4 linked regions of the Drosophila melanogaster genome follow. The protein of the gene in region 3 interacts with the protein of the main gene of each other region in a pairwise test. Each region holds a gene or a part of one and is shown on either strand. Other genes may lie near its edges. The genes, in order: Cen, RpS21, HP1e and CG32086.

Region 1 (5,723 bases), on a different chromosome or scaffold from region 3:
AACATACATATATATTTTACTATGTAACGGATAGAATTAAGCTAGATGCAGCGCATAAAGCTTTATACAACAAATTGAAAAGCAACAGAAGAAATTGGCACAAATTAAATTTATATAGCATAATTAGACGTCCTTCGCAAGATAATGTTATTCGTAATAAGAGCGTCAATCGGTACATCGGGCGCTATTTCCCACTACACCCCCAACCACACAATAGATAACCTAAGCTATGTATGTACATTAGCTATGTATATCCAGCCCACTTATGCGCCTACTACTAGAAATGCAGAAAGCAGAAAGAGAGGTGAAACCTATAGACGCTATCACAAATGTCTATCTGATAGACATCGGTACTACCAATGCTATATTGCCAGTTGTGTAATTTACTCTTATTTGATCGTTTCATTTACCAGTTAAGAACCCAAATCATATAAGTGTTATGATGGAAGAACTATAACTTGCAATTCAATTAACTCTGCAATACGATAACAAGCAAAGCGAATCATTTCATTTCGATTTAATCTTTAATTATATATACTTAAACGATGTAAGCCCAAAACAAACGTTTTTTCTATATCTGTCTTTTGAGCAAATTAGTTATACGCAAAACCAAACCGTATTTACATAAATGTATACAAAACAAATCGTATATTTTCATTGGTTTGAAATAAATACATAAAACAATTTAACTTGTTTTACTTGATATTTTAGGTGTCTGGGAATTGAAAGCTGCATTAAAATGTTTTGTCTGTTCTGCTTTGTAAAGATTATTTGTTTTTTCTATTACAAGTGTCTTAACCAAAGACATTTGGTTAACTTCTGAGAATCATAATTACTTATAAGTTAAATTCCAATTGGCAGTCTTATATATCAAACGTAAACTGACAGGAACGACGTAATGTTGTGCCTGCAGACAGGACAGCGGTCTTCTAAAAGGAGCACGAGCTGCAGGGAGCACTCTTTGCAGAGGCAGAGGTGCCGGCATGGCATGACTACTACGTTCCTGCTTTGAGCCATGCACACGACACAGCGTTCTGGACTCGCGGATCCTGCGTTCTCTGACACATACCAAACATTGTGTATGAAGTGTTGCAATTTATGATGGGTCCATAGGTAAACGCTTTGCGTCTTCGTCGAGATTTCAATGCGTCCACGTTGCAGCAGGTAGATGAGCATCAGGTACACATAGCGGCGGAACATATAGAGAACGAGGAGCAGGGCCAATCCTATCGAGGCCCGGAACGCACTGTTCAGCAAGCTCAAGCCATGGGCCACGATTGAGTGCACCACAAAGTCTAGGAGGCAGTCCCAGAGGAATAGTATGGCCCTCGGCAGCAGCATCAGCAGCCACAAGATGCCATCACCCAGATCGATGAGTAAGTTGCAGATGAATCGGGATATGCAGTGACCAAAATCGAGTACATTCTTGAGCCCGCCTTTGGTGCCGCCGTAGAAGTAGTCCGCCACATCTAGCGTGATGAGGCCCAAGTCGCGGATGCCCTCGTTGATATTCCTGACCGCGCATCTCAACAGATTCCATCCTTTCCTGCTGCCCTCCACCAAACAGAAGCCGACGAGGTAGCTGCCCCACAGGAAGTAGTACACGCCAGTAATCACTGCATCAATCACGCTGGCCAGCGGACGCAGCAGGACCAGATCCACAAGCTCCGCTGCCCGAATTAGAGCGTCCAGCATGGCGGGGGGCTCATACTGTCCTCGAATTAAGAAAAGGAAGAAACACAAAATCAAAACAAGAACGCCGGCCGCTTAGTGTGACCAGGCGGTGGTTGGTAATTAAAGCCAAGCTATCGTTGCGATAAGGTAGCGTCAAATAATTACTTATCTTAAATATTTGTATAATTAATATATATATTTATTTTTAACACCCCACACATTATCGGTTGCACTTCCTAGATATATTTAAACTTAGATGGTATCTGAACTTTAAATACGCCAAATTCTAGGGTAACTTAAATTAATAATGTTCAAACAAATATTTTGCTTCTGTGAGCAAAGGAATTACTAAGGAGACATAACAATTTGGATTTATTAATTTTGACAACTATAAATATGCGTAATAATTAATATGGGTATTCATGTACTGATCTATTATGATATTGCATGCTTCTTTCAAAGACAATGAAAGCTCAAAAATATAATTATACATCCGTGCATTTTGCTGGTATTTCAGAATCCAACAAGGTTTCCCCAAACAACTCGCGAGGGGTTATATAAGAAAGGCGAGCTTAAATCATAGCCCTATCTGAGCAGGAATCCCCCTAATGCGAATAATCCTATTATAAATTTATTTCCGGTTCTGCTAGGAAGTTCATTTCGGTTCTTTGTCTGCAGGTCGATTGTGTATAATAAAAAGCATTAATTAACTATTCGTACATGCAGTTGCGCCCTAGTACGTAGGGCTTTTTCTGCACTCGCTGCAATACCATACTTTTTGTTTTTGGGGATGAAACAGTAAAAAAGTTACTGTTGTAGCAGTTTTCCACCATTGAGAGGACATTTGCCAAGTAATTACTGTTTGAGTTTTGCTTTGCTCACAAAGCTCTGCTGCTAAATGAACTAAAATCGATTAAATCTTTAAATTTTCGCCAGAGTTCGCATCAAGCCCAAGCTTAGAAAGGTCCAAGTCCAAGATGGAGGAATCCAATCACGGTTCGGCTGGCTGTGAAAACGTATCGCAGTTCATGCTCGATGACCTACAATTGGCAGCAGAGCTGGGAAAAACGCTCCTGGAACGCAATAAGGAGCTGGAAACCTTCATCAAGGAGTACAAGATTAAGGGGGATGAGCAGGAACTGGAGATCTTGCATCTGCGCAAGCACATTAATGCGATGACCGAGGTGAATGATTCACGGCTTAAGGTCTACGAGCAGCTGGAAGTGGGCATTCAGGATCTGGAGCGTGCCAATCAGCGGCTAAATCTGGAGAAGAATCGGGACAAGAAGCAGATTAAGACGCTGACCACCAACACGGAAGTCCTGGAAGCCCGCTGCGAGGAACTGAGTCAACTTCTGAGCGATGCTCGGCAATCCCTGAGCACCGAGCGGCGGAAGGTGGATCAGTACCAGCAGGAACGCTATAGGATGCAGCATTCGACCGAGGGTTCTGTGTCCAGTCACAGCATTCAATCGCTGTGCAAGGAGCAGAGTGTTGAGTTCTCCAAACTAGATGTTATGGCCATAGCGAACTCGACAGGATTGGAGGATATCTCCTTCAGTAATGCCACCATGTGCGAGAGGACCGCCGTTAAGGGTGAAGACAACGAGGAATTGGTAAAGCTGCTCAGCGAAATGGAGGTGTTAAAACGTGACTTCTTGGCCGAACAGCAGCGGTGCACCGAGCTGGAGGAGCAGTTGGTGACCATAATCCAAGACAACCAAGGTCTGCAGACACGTCTGCTGGAGAACAGTGCCAATGAGGGAACAATGTCGATGCACGAGGAGTTCAGCCTCCTGGACGACGTGAGACAAGGCCAAATGTGTAGTCGCTGCCTGAGGGATATTAACGAAAGCAACACCAATATGGATGATCAATCCTCCATTGCCCCAACCGAAGAAATCTACGAAGATGACGATCGCAGCATACTAAGCGAAAGCACCTCGAAATGCGATAATAGTGGTGCGGATTATAAGGAACGCTTCCGGATTCCCGAGGACCTCAATCCCAACTCTAGCGACAAACCAAATCCTTATCGGGACCTAGTCGAGAAATATGAAGCTCTGGTGGAGGTGAAGAGAACCTCGAATGCGGTCAAGAGCAACTTCACCAGCAATCCAGATGGGAAGACCATGACCGAGTCCAGTCAAGGCAAAAAATCAGAAACAATTGTTAACAGCTCAAAGGAATCTGACCTTATGTTGGATTCAACACGTAAGCGCACTCCAACCGAGTTTTCGGAATCAGAAACTACATCGTCGGGATTCTCGGATGAAACTAGCAACAAGTCTACGCAAACTGACGAGCGACCGAGTTACTTCCTTTGCTCAATAAGTAATGGAAACGATTGTAAATTCAGTATTTATGACGACGTCAGCCCCATTGAATCTCATTTCCGTAATCGCCCGGAGTACAGGGAACTCTTCAAGGAGATATTTGGAGTGCTCAAGAAGGCAGCTGATAATAACGAAGAAGACAAGCTTCCGTCCCTGCATGACGACGCACAGATTACAGAAAAATTACCCTTGGTGGCGGCCAAAGTACCCCCGGTAACACCCGAGAGGGAGGAATCTCCAGATGACTTCATTGACGACACACAGAGCGTCGTATCCTCAGTTATATCCAACCAGTCCATTGCAATGTCCGAGTGCGTTACCAAACTGGAGCGGAAGACAGCCAAAAAACACATCTTTGATGTCCGAAACCAACAAAACCAATCGTCCCTAACGCAATCCACTTTGTTAAACAGCTCCTCGAAGGAAACAACTGTCGGCGAACCGAATTATAAACCCATAAGGGAGAATGGCCAGATACTTACTCCACTCAAGCGCGAACCACTCGAATATCTAACCGTAGGTGTCGGAATCAAGAAGAAGAACCGACGAAAGCACCGAAACCAAAGCTCATCTGGAGATCGCATCGAATTGTTTAACTCCCGGGAATTTACTCCCAGGAACAGTCCTCTGGCCATGAACAACCGTGGTGGTGGACAAGGGAGCTCAAAGATGTGTACGGATACATTGAATGCTGAATTCGGACGCAGTAACCGCAGACGGACAACTCCATCCTCAAGCAACTGGAATGGCTCTCCCATGGTGATCTATAACAAGAATATGAATACTCCCCAAACTTCTCGGGGCCGAGTAATAGAGCTCAATGGCGTCGAGTTTTATCATAACACGGTATCGCAAGACTTACATAAACTTAAAAAGTTAGACTTATCCTACGCCGAAGTTTTGCGCCGGGCCGATGCCGGCGAACATGGACCCACAAGATCACATTCCCAGCGACAGCAACACAACGGAGCCAACATTCGCAAGAGTCATCATCATCAGTTTCGTCAAAAGTAAACTTGTTTAGAGAATGTAAATAAGCAATTAAACAGTGCATTCTAGCCATAGGGCATTCTACCATTTTTAAATTGTGTGTGCCATGCAGTCTAGTCCGCTTTTTCATGTATAGACAGTTAAATAACAATAACTAAATAACTATAATCGGAAATTTAATTTTATTTCAGCATGATAAAATAAATAATTTAATGACCTACAGAAATCTTACTCTTTCACGATATTCAGCCAAGTTTCAATAGGAATATATGTAGTTGCTTTACAAATTCAGATATAAAAAAGTAAACATTTATTGTTAACTTACAAAGTAAAGGCAAATAAAATATTCTTGCACTTTCATGATATGCCCGTCTAACTACTTTCCAGACTTCCGTTGGTAATGCCCAGTTTGCTAAGCAAACTTATTATATCGCTGTTCGTTCTCATGACAGCCATAACTTCCTGTTGCTGCTGCTGCATGACCCTTAGCCGATTCCGCTCCTCTATCTTGGCCAGCTGATTATTGTTGTTTATGGTCTTTGTGTCCACATCCAGCTTCAGCTCCGACTTAACGTGATACAACTCATCGCGTATTCCGTTCAACTTTCTTTCGCAATCGCGCACGTCCTTCTCCAAAATTTGAGTTTTAAGGTAGACGGTCTGAGCCAACTTATACCAGTCCGCCAGGCACTCTGCGATTTGTGCCACTGTCGGATTTACGTT
Region 2 (4,126 bases), on a different chromosome or scaffold from region 3:
AAGCAATTGCCCGCCCCTATTTAGTTTTATTTATATTGTTATTGGCTGTTATAGGTTTGGTTTTTGGCAACGATATATATTGTAATATATTATTGAATATTTATTATGAGGCATGGCATTTTTAGGATACAGCAAAAACAATTCAAAAGTAATCAATGCCAAATGCGAAAATAACTTCTAAGACCTAATGATTCTTCAGCTAATGTAAATGGAAATAGGTTTTTTCGCCATTATGGTACTTATGATTATCACTGAGGACCGTGCACCTGGAACGGCTCGTTAGTGAGTCAGGAATTCAGCACGCGACAACGCGAGAATGGAAAATACGGCGAAAAGTAAGGGGATTATTATGCTTTTGTTTGGGGTGCACATGAATGTACATACGTACATGCATATGTACATTAGTACGTAATGCTCTATAAGGTAAGGAACTACTCACCATGTACTGTTTGCGAAAATATGCTAGTTACGAAGTCTGCCTAATACTGTCCAAGTTGCTGTGGCGTCCGTGTGGAAATGGTTATGCTATTGCATCACATTTATATATTCTTGTAACTGAGCAAGTTGCTTAACAATTTGTTGCCTCTTTGTTGTTCTTTGTCACATATTTTAAAGGACGCGCAGTTTCCGTTTCCAATTGGATTCCGTTTTCGTTATGTTGTTGTGGTACCAACCGACTGCTTGTACCCTAAACTACTACAACTACAACAGCACCGTCACATTTGGCCCCCAGGAATGGGTAAATGGTTGTTATGCCTCGCAAATTTAATATATATATAACTTTTTTTCGTTTCGCGACGCGATGAAAATCACTCGAGCTCTGAACTTGCAGTGTGACCGCGTTTGCTGAACTAGAGATGGCCAAGCATCGATTGCACTATCGATTACCTATGCATTCTCAAAAATTCGCATCCACAAAGTAGGAACTATCTGTTTCGACTAACGGTCATACTATGCAATAAATTCAAAATTTGTTTATACTTTTTGCGGACGAAGAGTTATATATTTCATATTCTGTTTTGACAAAGGATTGCTGTTTGTTTATAATCGTAATACAAAGCATATGCTATTTTGGATATAGAACACTAGAATTCCCATAGGCGAACTTATTCAAATATCAAATTAATTGGTTCCTGAAAGCACCCGTAAATTCTTAGTGGCTGAAAAGTCTTATTGGAAGTCAGAATAATTACTCCACACACTAAGCATCTTAGTTATGCTTTGCTTTGAGCTAATCCTGGTTCTAACTGCCACCGAAAAATGATTCCATTGTTTATGCCAGAAGTAAATAAAACAATTTCGAACGTTATACGTTAAATTACAAAGGGAAATCGCTTTATTACCAAATCAAAATCTAGCTATGGGTACGCCACGCTTAGAAGTTCCTGCAAGGCGAAAAATGCGCGATTAGTGGATGTCCATCCCGGGGATTCTAGCACAAACTCACTTGGTAATGATGCCGTCCTTCTTGGCCAGACGCACGATGCAGTCGTCGGACTCGCCCATGCGACGGATCTCGCCGCAGATGGCGTAGGTCTTGGAACCGTCGGTCTGGCGACCGGTCTCGGGGTCCACATCCACGATGCTCAGCTGCACGGAGGCGTGATCCTTGGCGTGGATGATCCTGTTGGACGCCGAGCTGCAGGGAAGGGTATCGGCTGGTCAGTAATCCATTCGGCAAATTGTGCGGGGAACACGTGTTTCACTTACCATTTGCGGGGCACGTACAGATCAACATTCTCACCGGCGTCGTTCTCCATTTTATTGGGCTGAAAGGTAAGGGACACAATTAGCTTGCTTTTTATTCAGTTTTAGTGGCGGCCACTGCTGGTTTACTCACTTTTTTGTAGAAATTTACAAATCTAGCGACCGCAACTCGTCGGTGAAGGCGAAAAAGAGAAAGAAATGACAGCTGGACGTGAAGTTGGCTGCGCTGCGCGTGGCGCCCCCTGTCGGAAGTTTTGCGTACCAGCTGGTTTTGGGGTGACCAGCTGGCAAAGGTTTTGGTATTTATTTAATTGTACATTTTTGCAAGATATTTCCATTCCCCTTTAATGAATAGGCATGTTTCAATTTTGGTTATGCACCAAAATGTATTTTAAAATTAAATGATAATTAAAAAAAAATTTCACTTGGTTTTGTAAGTAAATATCAATAGATTTAAATATATATTTTCCCGCATTAGTGGAAAATACCAAAATCTAATGAATGACATATTAGATACATGTTCCAGCAGCGACTGGTCACACTTTCGAAGGCCTGAGCGAAGGCTGCAGATTTCGCGTCGGGAAAATTCTATTGCATATTTAGGGGCGCATCAAGTAAATGGCTCCCATTAGAGTGGCTCAATATATATTATTCGCAAGCTCCCAACTGCACGGACTTACTTATTTAGCATGTGAGTATTGATTTTGCAACAGCCAGTCAGTCAGTCTGTGATTTTGTTTTCGCTGGATGGGCGTTCAGCGCGACTGCCCTTTGACCTCGCTCGATGTCAGCAGCGATTTTCGTCAATGGATGCGGACCCCCACTTTTTATTGCCACTTCGCGTGTGTTTGTGCGGCTGTTGGGGCGCCCCAAGTGGGCGGCATTGTTTTCATCGCGCGCCATGTCGCGGAATTCGCAGTCCACGTTGCCTATTTATAGGCGTCGCTCACTCAATGAACTCTCTGATCGCATTTCATTGTGAGTTCGGACTTAGCTTTTTCAGTTGGACGCCAACTTTGGAAGCAATCGGTTCGCTTCGCGTCGCTCGATTTCAAAAATCCCAAACGGCGTGACTTTTGCCTTATTGTTGTTAGTTGTGTTTTTTCGACTGAAACTTCTTGAGGTGAGATTTCACAAGTGGTTATGCTGCTTGTTGACCTTTTGTGTGTGCAAATTATGATATTTTTGCATAATATGTTTGCCACCAGCCCAGTACAGCCGAGAGCAAAAAGATAAAATGAAATAAAATGAGATCATGATAACGTGAGATGCTATTTATAAGCACCTAAACAAGAAAGCAAAGATCCCGAGACCCGTAATAAAGTGGCAATATAGTAAATGAAACGAAATGAAAGTGAAACTAATCATGGTGCTTACAAAATACATTAGATAAATTATGTTAAAGTCCACCCAAAGTGACCAGACTTCAAAAAAGCTATTGATCATTAAAATCAAACAAAATAACAAGTGGCTGCCAAAACAATCTAATCAGTAGATATAACCGTGTACCATAAGAGGTATCGCATATTACGGATATTTTATCAGTTTGCTGGCTTATCTGTAACAAACTTAGCGTACAAAGTTGGTAAGAAAATTACTACAGATATTATAAGCTCTAAAGGTGCTAAAATGTTTCGGAACTATACCTTTTATTCAGCTAAGCCGTCTTTAACGGAATTTTCGTTTCGGCCGTATATTTGAGATACATTCACAATGTAATTATGTGAATAGGGCAATTAAGAGTCGTACTCAGGCTAAGAAAACTCTGAACTCATGTTGTCAGCAGCAGCACACATTGCGTGCCTGGCCAGAAAGACGATGATGATGAAAAGCCGCATGAGGAAAGTCCGAAAAACTAAAACACTTTCTAGGTCAAAAGTTGAAAGGCACAAGGGAAACATCACCATGATGCTCATAAAAAAGGCAAGAAGCGTAGATGAAAATCAGAAAAAAAAATGCGGCTGCATAAAATGCAATTAATAAAGCAGTGTACCCACAAAGTAAGAGACCAGAAAATGAAAAAGAAAATGAAAATGCTTCACTTTGTGACTGGCTTGTTGCGTGTTGATTGAGCCAAGTCAGCTGCGATCTGAGATGCCGCCTGTCAATTTCCAGGGGGAGTTCCTATTAACAACGGAGAAATTACAGCATGCAAAAAAGTTAGTAATTGTTGTTCTCTTGCAATAGGGGAAATCGCATGAGTTGCAATAATCTAGACAAAGCCTTTACTTTCAAGAAAAGGGAATTCATTTGAAGGGCAACAAAGTTGTGAACCTTATCAAATTAATGGCATTCATGTGCAATATAGAGAACCTCTTCAAACACTGATGATTTTTATGGCCCCTTAAAAGGCATTTGGCTTTAAGGGAGCCTTATCGATAGAAGGGAATTCAATTTGCCCCTCCATGAATTATTAAAT
Region 3 (3,656 bases):
CAGTTATCTAGCTTAATCTAAGAATATTTTGAATAGAAATAGTATTGAACACCAGTGCAAGCATAACGTCAAAACAAAAGTTGAATCAAGCGTGTGCCTATAAATTCAAATAGGTCTTAGTTTCTTTTACCGCCGACAAAAACTTACCAATATCGAAGAGCAATTGATTGGAGTTGAACTTGCTCGACCGGATATTGCAGTATCAATTCTCGGCAAAAGTGCAGAAGGCTTAAACGAAACCTTTTTGCTGCTATTGTGGCTACGTGCCCACTGGACGCAACTGGGTAGCACCAGAGCCCCCCCCCCCCCCCTCCAAAAAAAAGGACCCAAGTGACGAAAAACAAACACGAATATATAGGGCAAAAGTACGTCCGGCCACCACGCCCCATCAGCCAAAAACAGAGAATAGGTCTTACGACTTTTGGTACTTGCGATGAGACAAGGGAATGGCCACAAAAACGGAATGCAAATATTTTCGCTTCATTTTGGCCGTCGTACATTCCTGGCCCTTGTTTGCCGGCACTGTTGTTGCAATTAAGAGTGTTTACGCTGCCTGTCGGGCAAACACGCCCCAAAAATCACTTAAAACTTGGCATTTTGCCTTCATTATTGTTTGTAATGCTGTGCAAAGGGACACCTTTTATTATAAAAAGTAAAGCAATTTAACCTAACATATAAAATATAAGAAGCTCACACACATATTCATAAGTTTTTTTTTTTTGAAGATCCAGAATTGCAAGTCATGATATATAATTATTTAAATAATCGTGAAAATTGCAATGATTTTCATAGAATTTCAGAACCATCTGCGGTATTTCCACATATGCAATTCCACTTGGCACCACTTGTGGTTGATCGAGATGCCAAAACCTAATTAAAAACGATATTTCACCATTGTTTTTAGCGCCTTTTAGAATCTCTTGTGCAGTGAAACCATGATTAAAAGGACTATCTACTACTAGACATGGATCGATTTTCAGTCGTTTAGCTTTAGTTTCATATTGATTATTCAGCTCTTGACCCCTCTTCAGACTTTTTTGTGATTCAATCGAATCAATAAGTGAATGGCAATCGAGATCTGCTGCCGATTCCCAGGTATTATCTTCATCGCTATAATCCAGCCATTTGACCAAGTATTGTAATTGGCCCATATAATGCCTTCGATCCAAAATCCTCTCTACAATATACTCCTCAGTTTCTTCAAAATCCGTCGAATTTTCAGAGAAATTCGAAACGGTCTCGCCACCATCGGCATCTGAATCCATTTTATATTTTTAAATGTTCAAATAGTATTTTTTTGATGAGTTTTGACAGCAATGTCAGAGCGAAAAACATTTTCGTAACTTTTTATCTACAGTTGCTACTCAACAAAACGTAGTTTTCTGTGCAGACAAGTTTTCTTTTAAATGCTGGTCTACTTTAATATCTTCTTGCCAAAAGAAATAAAATTATGAAAAATATTGTAATGAATTCGTTTAATATCCTGAAGTAGAAAAGTTAGCCATATACTTAATGCCCACAGCTTAGGAAATGCGGCATTAATAATACCAAATTCAATAGCAGAAAGTGAATAAAATTGTTTGCCGGAAATCTATTAGAGATCCCTGGATGCTGGGTAAGTCCTTTCGAACAACAATAAGAATAAGATGAGCCGTCAAAAGGAAAAACTGCGGAAAATATCGTAAAAAATTATGCGTAAACTTGGCGAAAAGTTTGAAATACTCGTAGAACAAAGTTTTTTTCAGTTTGGTTTCGTGTATCACGTTGTTTAATGAACAAAATCTTTTGCCTTTCAAGGCAAACTTTGCAGGCCACAGAAATCGTTGATGAATCACTTGACAATAAATTGGGGAATATGCTTTAAAAATTTGAAAGGTGTAACAACTAGTTATTTTTCTTATTTATCCTTCATTGAAAAACATAAGTTTATGGCTTCCCTCGAAGTCAGTTCCACATTTTATGGCTTTCTTTTGTAGAATGAAGGCGCCACGTACCTGATATTAAATCGGCAAAGTTTTATTACCCGAAATTAAAAGCTCGATTATGCGCGATGACGTGGGACAGATTTGTGGGATTGGGTCGCTTGGTTTGAATACTTTTTAGAGGCCAGCATTTACATGCGAATGTGGCAATCAAACTGTGCAGTGAGTGCTACGTGGCCGGAATAAATCAGGCGACTTATGAAGTAGGATGGAGTTGGAGATTCACGGCAAATACATACATAAAATGTGCGCCTTCGTCAACTGCAGTACAGTGAAGATTCGAAAATCGAAATGGAGTGGAGGGGTGGTCAAGAAACGTGAGGTGCGGTTGTTTACTGAAGCCGTAAATGGGGGGCCGGGCAATTTCCGTGCGGCGAGTTGTGAAATCAGCGTCAAATCGGAAGCACAGGAAGTGGAGAGGTGAGCAGTCGGCGCAAAAGTCAATGTGACTGCCTATGCCATCACTTCCGGCAAATATTGATTGCAGGGGGTGGTGCCTAGAATGGCTAAAAGCCATTTCTGCCTGGGTAAATTCAATGTAATTGATAAGCGAACTCTGCCGGCAGATAGGCGGCAATGAGCATAGTGTCCTGGCACACAGATACCCCATATATGTATGAGCAAACATACTGGCACACAGACACACTAGCAAAAGACACTCAATTAAGAAAACAATGGCGGCTCGGTTTGTGCGGCAATTGAGTTTTTCCTTTTTGCCATCTGCGTTGGCCGTCTTTGTTTAGCTTTCGGCTTTTCCTCTTACCCCGTTCCCAATTTGCCAGTAAGACGCTTAGTCTTGCCACAAGCCCATCGCAAAATGCTCTCTCAGTATTCTCGTATTTGACTAGTACTGCGATATCTTTGCCTTTTAGCCAACTTGAGTTTCTTGGGTTTTTGGCCCCATTCTACTCCTTTATTCCTATCGCACGCTCATTAGCCGCTGTCTTCGAGCCAATTTTACTGTCACTTTTTGCCTCCAGTGCTGGCTGTAGTTCCTTTGTTCGGATTCCTCGCTTGACTTAACACACTTTGGGCTAATTTCCAGTTTTATTTGATCATCATTATAATTATTGTGTGCTTGTTTTTGACAGTATTACGGTCATAATTTTTTTTTTTTTTTTTTTTTTGAGACCAATATTTGATGTTTTTATTATTTGATCAACGCACTGTTACCCATGCGGCAACTTAATTTGATCTGCTTAAATTATTTTATTTTACAATGTGTCTTGGTTACTTAAGACTAACAGATTTTTAATCCTAAAAATGTTAGGGAGAATTATAATAGTTGATATAACATAGTAATTATTATTTATTTGATTATTCTAATGAATTTTAAAACTAAGACTTTCTAGGTCAAAACCAGGTTAGGGAGGTCATGAGGGTGGTGTCGCTTGAGTCTTCTTTTGACTCTAGTCCGAGGGTCAGCATTGACCACAGCTGCAGTTCCTAGCTTCCTTGCTAGGCTGTTGGGGTGTACACGGTCATAATGGAAAGCCAGATTCGTTCGTGCGCTCATAAGTAGGCAATGAATTTTGATTGTAACTTTTATCTCGTGCTGAATATGTTCATATATTCTTACTTATTATCGTTTTACCGTTTAAATGACTTATGCAAATAAATTCACCAATTGACAAGTTTTTCATGAAAACAATACTGTTGTCTATATATTCCCCC
Region 4 (4,412 bases), on a different chromosome or scaffold from region 3:
TATATATTCTGATAAGGCATATGTGTACAATACAATAGGATCGAAAACTTTTTAAGTGTTACCTACTTTTAAACACACATTGCATACCCATTTACTATGCGTTATGAGTTAAGGGTACAAATACTACTTAAAATAATTTTATAGATAAAATGAAAATATTAGGCAAAATTCTTTTAAAAAGAATTTCTTTATTTCAAAAACTACTAGTGCAGCTTAATTTTTCCTGTGGGTCACAATCACGATGGTCTTGTGGCACCTCTTTGGGTTCTTGCACTTCCGCTTGGGAATGCGGGTGTGGCACCAGTTGTTGCCCCTCCAACAAAGCTTTTTGTGAGTGGAAGCGGCCGTTGTTGTTGTTGTGGTCGATGCTGCAGTGGTGGTTGTTGTTGTGGTGGTGGCATCAGTTGTTGTTGTATTACTAGAAGATGAAGCCACCTGGATGGCCAGGGCAATAAGGGCAACCACGAACAGGTATTTCATCTTTGATGTTATTGTTGGTTATGTTGGTTAGCTGGCAAAGCAATTGATATTAGACTTGGCTTAAAAGCGGCGAAGGGCTGTTGTGATCAACTGATGTTGAAGTCACCCCATTTATAGTTCTCCAGTAATTTCCGGATTTAGAAAACTAGTATTAATTTGATTTCCTAACTGATCACAGAAATTTAAATATTTGGTCGTAAGACACCAGCTTTGAAAGTTTAATGCTGTAGCAAATATTTGCTTCACACAAATGACAGCCCAAACTTATGCTATAGTTTATTTTTGTTTATTATATATTTGTTTGTCATGGTAAATTGTCTAAGTATTATGTAGATATGGCCTCTATTTTGTTGTGCATTTCAGTACGAAACTGCGTGACGGATGCCATTTCATTTTGGTCCTTGAACTTAGTCATTAGACTCTGCCAAATAGCTTCGAATTTATCAGTTGTTACGAGACTTCTAAAGATACGTTCGATTTCCGCTTTGGGCCGCAAACAGGTGAAATCACTGTGAGTAAGGCCACGTAAAATGGCCAAATCCGGTGTTATAAGATCCTTGGCAGTTGTTTTATTCCCTTCGAGATTCTGGCTAATTGCTCCCGTATTATCCTTTGACTTGTTTTGAAGATCGGCGCAGAGCAAACGATATGTGGTGTCCAGACAACTAACATCGGATACATTGGTCAAGTTTCCCGTTTTCGGCAGAGAATTCTGAATCGAGAGAAGTCGAAAGAAATCTACATAATTCACCCGCTCCGTGGCACAGCCCTCGTCCACAATCAGCCGAAAATTGGACAAGGCCAGACGGATTTTTTGCGCATCCAGACGGATGTGAAAACTTCTGAAAATTTCCAAGATGCGTGCCAGTGGCAAGTGACCCGTTCCATCCGTGTCACTCCTCTCCAGCACTGAATTTAGTGCGTACTTGTGAAATTCCAGCTGGTTCCTCAAACTATGACGTTTTTTGTTCAAATAGCGTATGGCATCTAGTAGCCGGTTGGTTTTGTAGCAGGGTTCAATATTATTTAGCAGCATCTTCACATCGCCATTGCTGCGCAGAGGAACACCGAAAGTTATGTCGGGCACCGCAAAAGTGTACCTACAGACAGTCTAAAACTATTAATCAAAATCTATATCTATCTATACTTACTTTTTGTTTCGCATTCCGAGGGGTGCCTCGTTTCGATCCATAAAGTCCACTTGCGCCTTGCCAATAACCTTCAGGTGGTTCTCACCTTCCTCCAGACATCGCTTCACTTTCAGTCCAAAATCGCCGTGAGTATGTATATCTCCACAAGGTGATTTTCGATCAAATGGTTGGGCATATCTAAAAAATATTTAAGACGTTCATTAAATATGCACCATTGCATTTGTAGTGACCAATAGCTTGACCTGCGGTTAACCTGCTCCGAAGGAAAGTAGTGATTGTGGCTGATGATGTACTTGTCGTGGAAAGCCTCGTACTCCTTATTAACTTGCTCCGCCGACTTGGCCGGCAATATGACGTCGTAGAGACATTCATTTTGTGATTGACTCGATGGACTTCCGAAGGTTTGGCTTATATTGGTCACGTCTTCCGGTTTGGAGTACGTTTTCTTGACCCCACCCAAAGTGGCCTTTTTGAAGTACATTTCCTCGTAGAACTTCTCCTTGAAGGACATAAAGCGCGACTTTTGCAACTCGCTGGTGAGCAAATCCCGGATGCTGCTGCTGGGTTGAACGGAACCGGCTGGGAACTTCTGGGATTTTTTATTGATCTGCCCGTAATTGCGCCTAACTAGACTCTCAGCCAATTCTTCTGGATTGCTAATACTAAGACAAACTTTTACACCTTCCGCTCCATCTAATCCACTGGTGGACAATCCTGCAGTCGGTATATTTGCATTTCTGTCTATAAAGTGTCCCTTATTGGCCATGTTTATGAGTGTATTTATGTATATAGTGTGGGTTCAAGTGTTTTCAGAGTGCTTATACATATTACTGAGTGATAAAGCAGAACATCTTAAATAAATAAATAATTGTATTTATTGGTCTTGTAAATGAGTATGTTTACATGTCAAATAATTTATGGCTTAGTATTAGTTCAACTTTAGCTAGTCGTCTAGTCTATTGTACATGGTACTAGTACATCATTGCACGTCTCTCTCTGGCCGCGGAGATGGCATCTGTTTTTTCAGTACAGGTGGTGGTTCTTGTGCAGGACAAAGTCCCAGGTATCCTTCCATCGAAGACTGCGAACCTCATTTAAAGTCATTTTTCTCGCACCATAACTGAATGGTATAAACTTTGAGAAAATGCTAAGCACGCCCACCAGCCACAGGATTAGCATGAGGCGATAAAGGCGCACCAGATGGACACCACGTCCGGTGCAGAAGCGCCTGAGCAGATAGTCCAAATGCTCCACGACAAAGCACAATAAAAGTAACTTAAACACAAAGGCTGGCAAGTAATTGTGCAGGAAGAGTGTACGATCCACACAAAAATACGGAATATAGTGCATCACGTAGCCCATAAAAAAGGTGTCACCAGCTAATACGAATCGCTGCCACTCTTGCTCCGAAATATCAAAGCAAAGACGTTGCCGCCGCATCGCGTAGAAGGCGAGTAATCCGGCATAGACAAGTATTCCCATGGTGGCTGTGTACCAGAGTAGTATGTTTCCCAGCAAATAGATCTGCGCACTCGACTGTGAGTCCAACCAATAAGCGATGCCCTTGTCCATTAGCGGCCACTCGTGCGGCATCGAGCTGTACATGTGATTTGGCACTGACTTCGTTTGGAACAGCATCTTGGATTGTAGCTCCAGTAGCTTGGCCCAGAACGAGATGCGCGTCCGCTTTGTGGGTATCATCTCGGCAGTTAGCATCTGGCGCTCTCGCTCCCGATGATCCTCAGCTATAAAGGGTTGTAAATGAGGATAACGTATTTCTTCAAGTATCTCGAAGAGGACTTACTCTGTGTATAGCGGTGCTCCTCAACATTCCAAATGGCATCCTCATGTATTGCCTTTTCACGATCCGCCACCACCTCGTGCTGATTGAAACCCCATTCGGGAAGTTGGCGCCCACTGAACTTCAAGGAGGCTTCTGTGGACACGTGAACGAGGCGGACCTCCGACTTGATGGCATGCCAAATGTCACCTTCGGAATCGCGATTCAGAATCTCCACGCGCCACAACAGTTCACCGGCCATTTTGATCTCGTAATCTATGTAGCAGCTGACTTCTTGGCACTGCGGCGTCATTGCCGCAGCCACATCGTGTGAGTTCAGAGCTCGGCTCGTAATTCCATGGACCAACTGAATAATTTCACCGTGCCGAATGATATCCGGCTCATCACCCACCACCAGGTTCTCCTTTGTTGGTCGCTTAACCAGCCACCAGTTGTTCACATCCTTGAAGGAGTAGCAGGTGACCTGCTGCTGGTGGGAGGAGCCTCTCTTGTCCGGATACCGCACCGGATAGACAGCTGCATGCGAGTGCAGCCAACAGGTGCGTCCGTGGGTGTGTCGTAGTGTGATTTGGGATCCATGAACCACTGCCAATGGCTGTCCTTTTGTGATCGATGCCAATCCTCCATCTAACGAGGCCTGAAACGCGCTAGTCATGATGCTATCATGCGGTCCAGCCCGGTGCAGCGTCTTGAAGTGGATATAGAAGACTCCCAAGTAGACCGCCAATGGAATTCCAACAAAGATTAACAGGCGACTTATGGCATGCATCCATAGCTGGCGATCTTGAAAAAAATGGTTTTATTTTGATTTATTCAATCTCTATTATTATATCGTAAATCGTATTTGTAAATCTCAGAAAAAAAGGTATCTTACCGGTGAGACCGGCGTCGTAGAGCAGTTGCCACAGGTGTCGACACAGCAAATAAAAGGCTAGCCCCAGTGCCAAGAATCCGACGTACTTGACGGTTCCGGCGGCTCC

What was found.
Region 1: the proteins of HP1e (region 3) and Cen interact in a two-hybrid assay, tested with the Drosophila melanogaster proteins (one large-scale study listed by BioGRID).
Region 2: the proteins of HP1e (region 3) and RpS21 interact in a two-hybrid assay, tested with the Drosophila melanogaster proteins (one large-scale study listed by BioGRID).
Region 4: the proteins of HP1e (region 3) and CG32086 interact in a two-hybrid assay, tested with the Drosophila melanogaster proteins (one large-scale study listed by BioGRID).

The regions. Positions count from the first base shown.
Region 1 is NT_033779.5:20,678,421-20,684,143, reverse strand, and holds Cen (centrocortin), read left to right. Parts: upstream 1-2,297; 5' UTR 2,298-2,525; exon of another isoform or gene 2,526-2,610; 5' UTR 2,611-2,651; coding exon 2,652-5,024; 3' UTR 5,025-5,223; downstream 5,224-5,723. Other genes in the region: CG2617 (uncharacterized protein), read right to left, coding at 871-1,695; IKKepsilon (I-kappaB kinase epsilon), read right to left, coding at 5,373-5,723.
Region 2 is NT_033779.5:2,853,890-2,858,015, reverse strand, and holds RpS21 (ribosomal protein S21), read right to left. Parts: upstream 1,906-4,126; 5' UTR 1,841-1,905; intron 1,794-1,840; exon of another isoform or gene 1,770-1,793; 5' UTR 1,761-1,769; coding exon 1,711-1,760; intron 1,640-1,710; coding exon 1,448-1,639; coding exon of another isoform or gene 1,444-1,447; exon of another isoform or gene 1,386-1,443; coding exon 1,376-1,385; 3' UTR 1,344-1,375; exon of another isoform or gene 1,248-1,343; 3' UTR 987-1,247; downstream 1-986. UniProt on the Drosophila melanogaster protein: May be an associated component of the ribosome rather than a core structural subunit. May act as a translation initiation factor. Has a role in regulation of cell proliferation in the hematopoietic organs and the imaginal disks of larva.
Region 3 is NT_033777.3:9,319,435-9,323,090, reverse strand, and holds HP1e (heterochromatin protein 1e), read right to left. Parts: upstream 1,322-3,656; 5' UTR 1,266-1,321; coding exon 741-1,265; 3' UTR 730-740; downstream 1-729.
Region 4 is NT_037436.4:11,581,637-11,586,048, forward strand, and holds CG32086 (uncharacterized protein), read right to left. Parts: upstream 2,429-4,412; 5' UTR 2,398-2,428; coding exon 1,874-2,397; intron 1,809-1,873; coding exon 1,632-1,808; intron 1,581-1,631; coding exon 806-1,580; 3' UTR 765-805; downstream 1-764. Other genes in the region: CG33269 (uncharacterized protein), read right to left, coding at 214-480; rt (rotated abdomen), read right to left, coding at 2,655-3,376, 3,436-4,215, 4,307-4,412.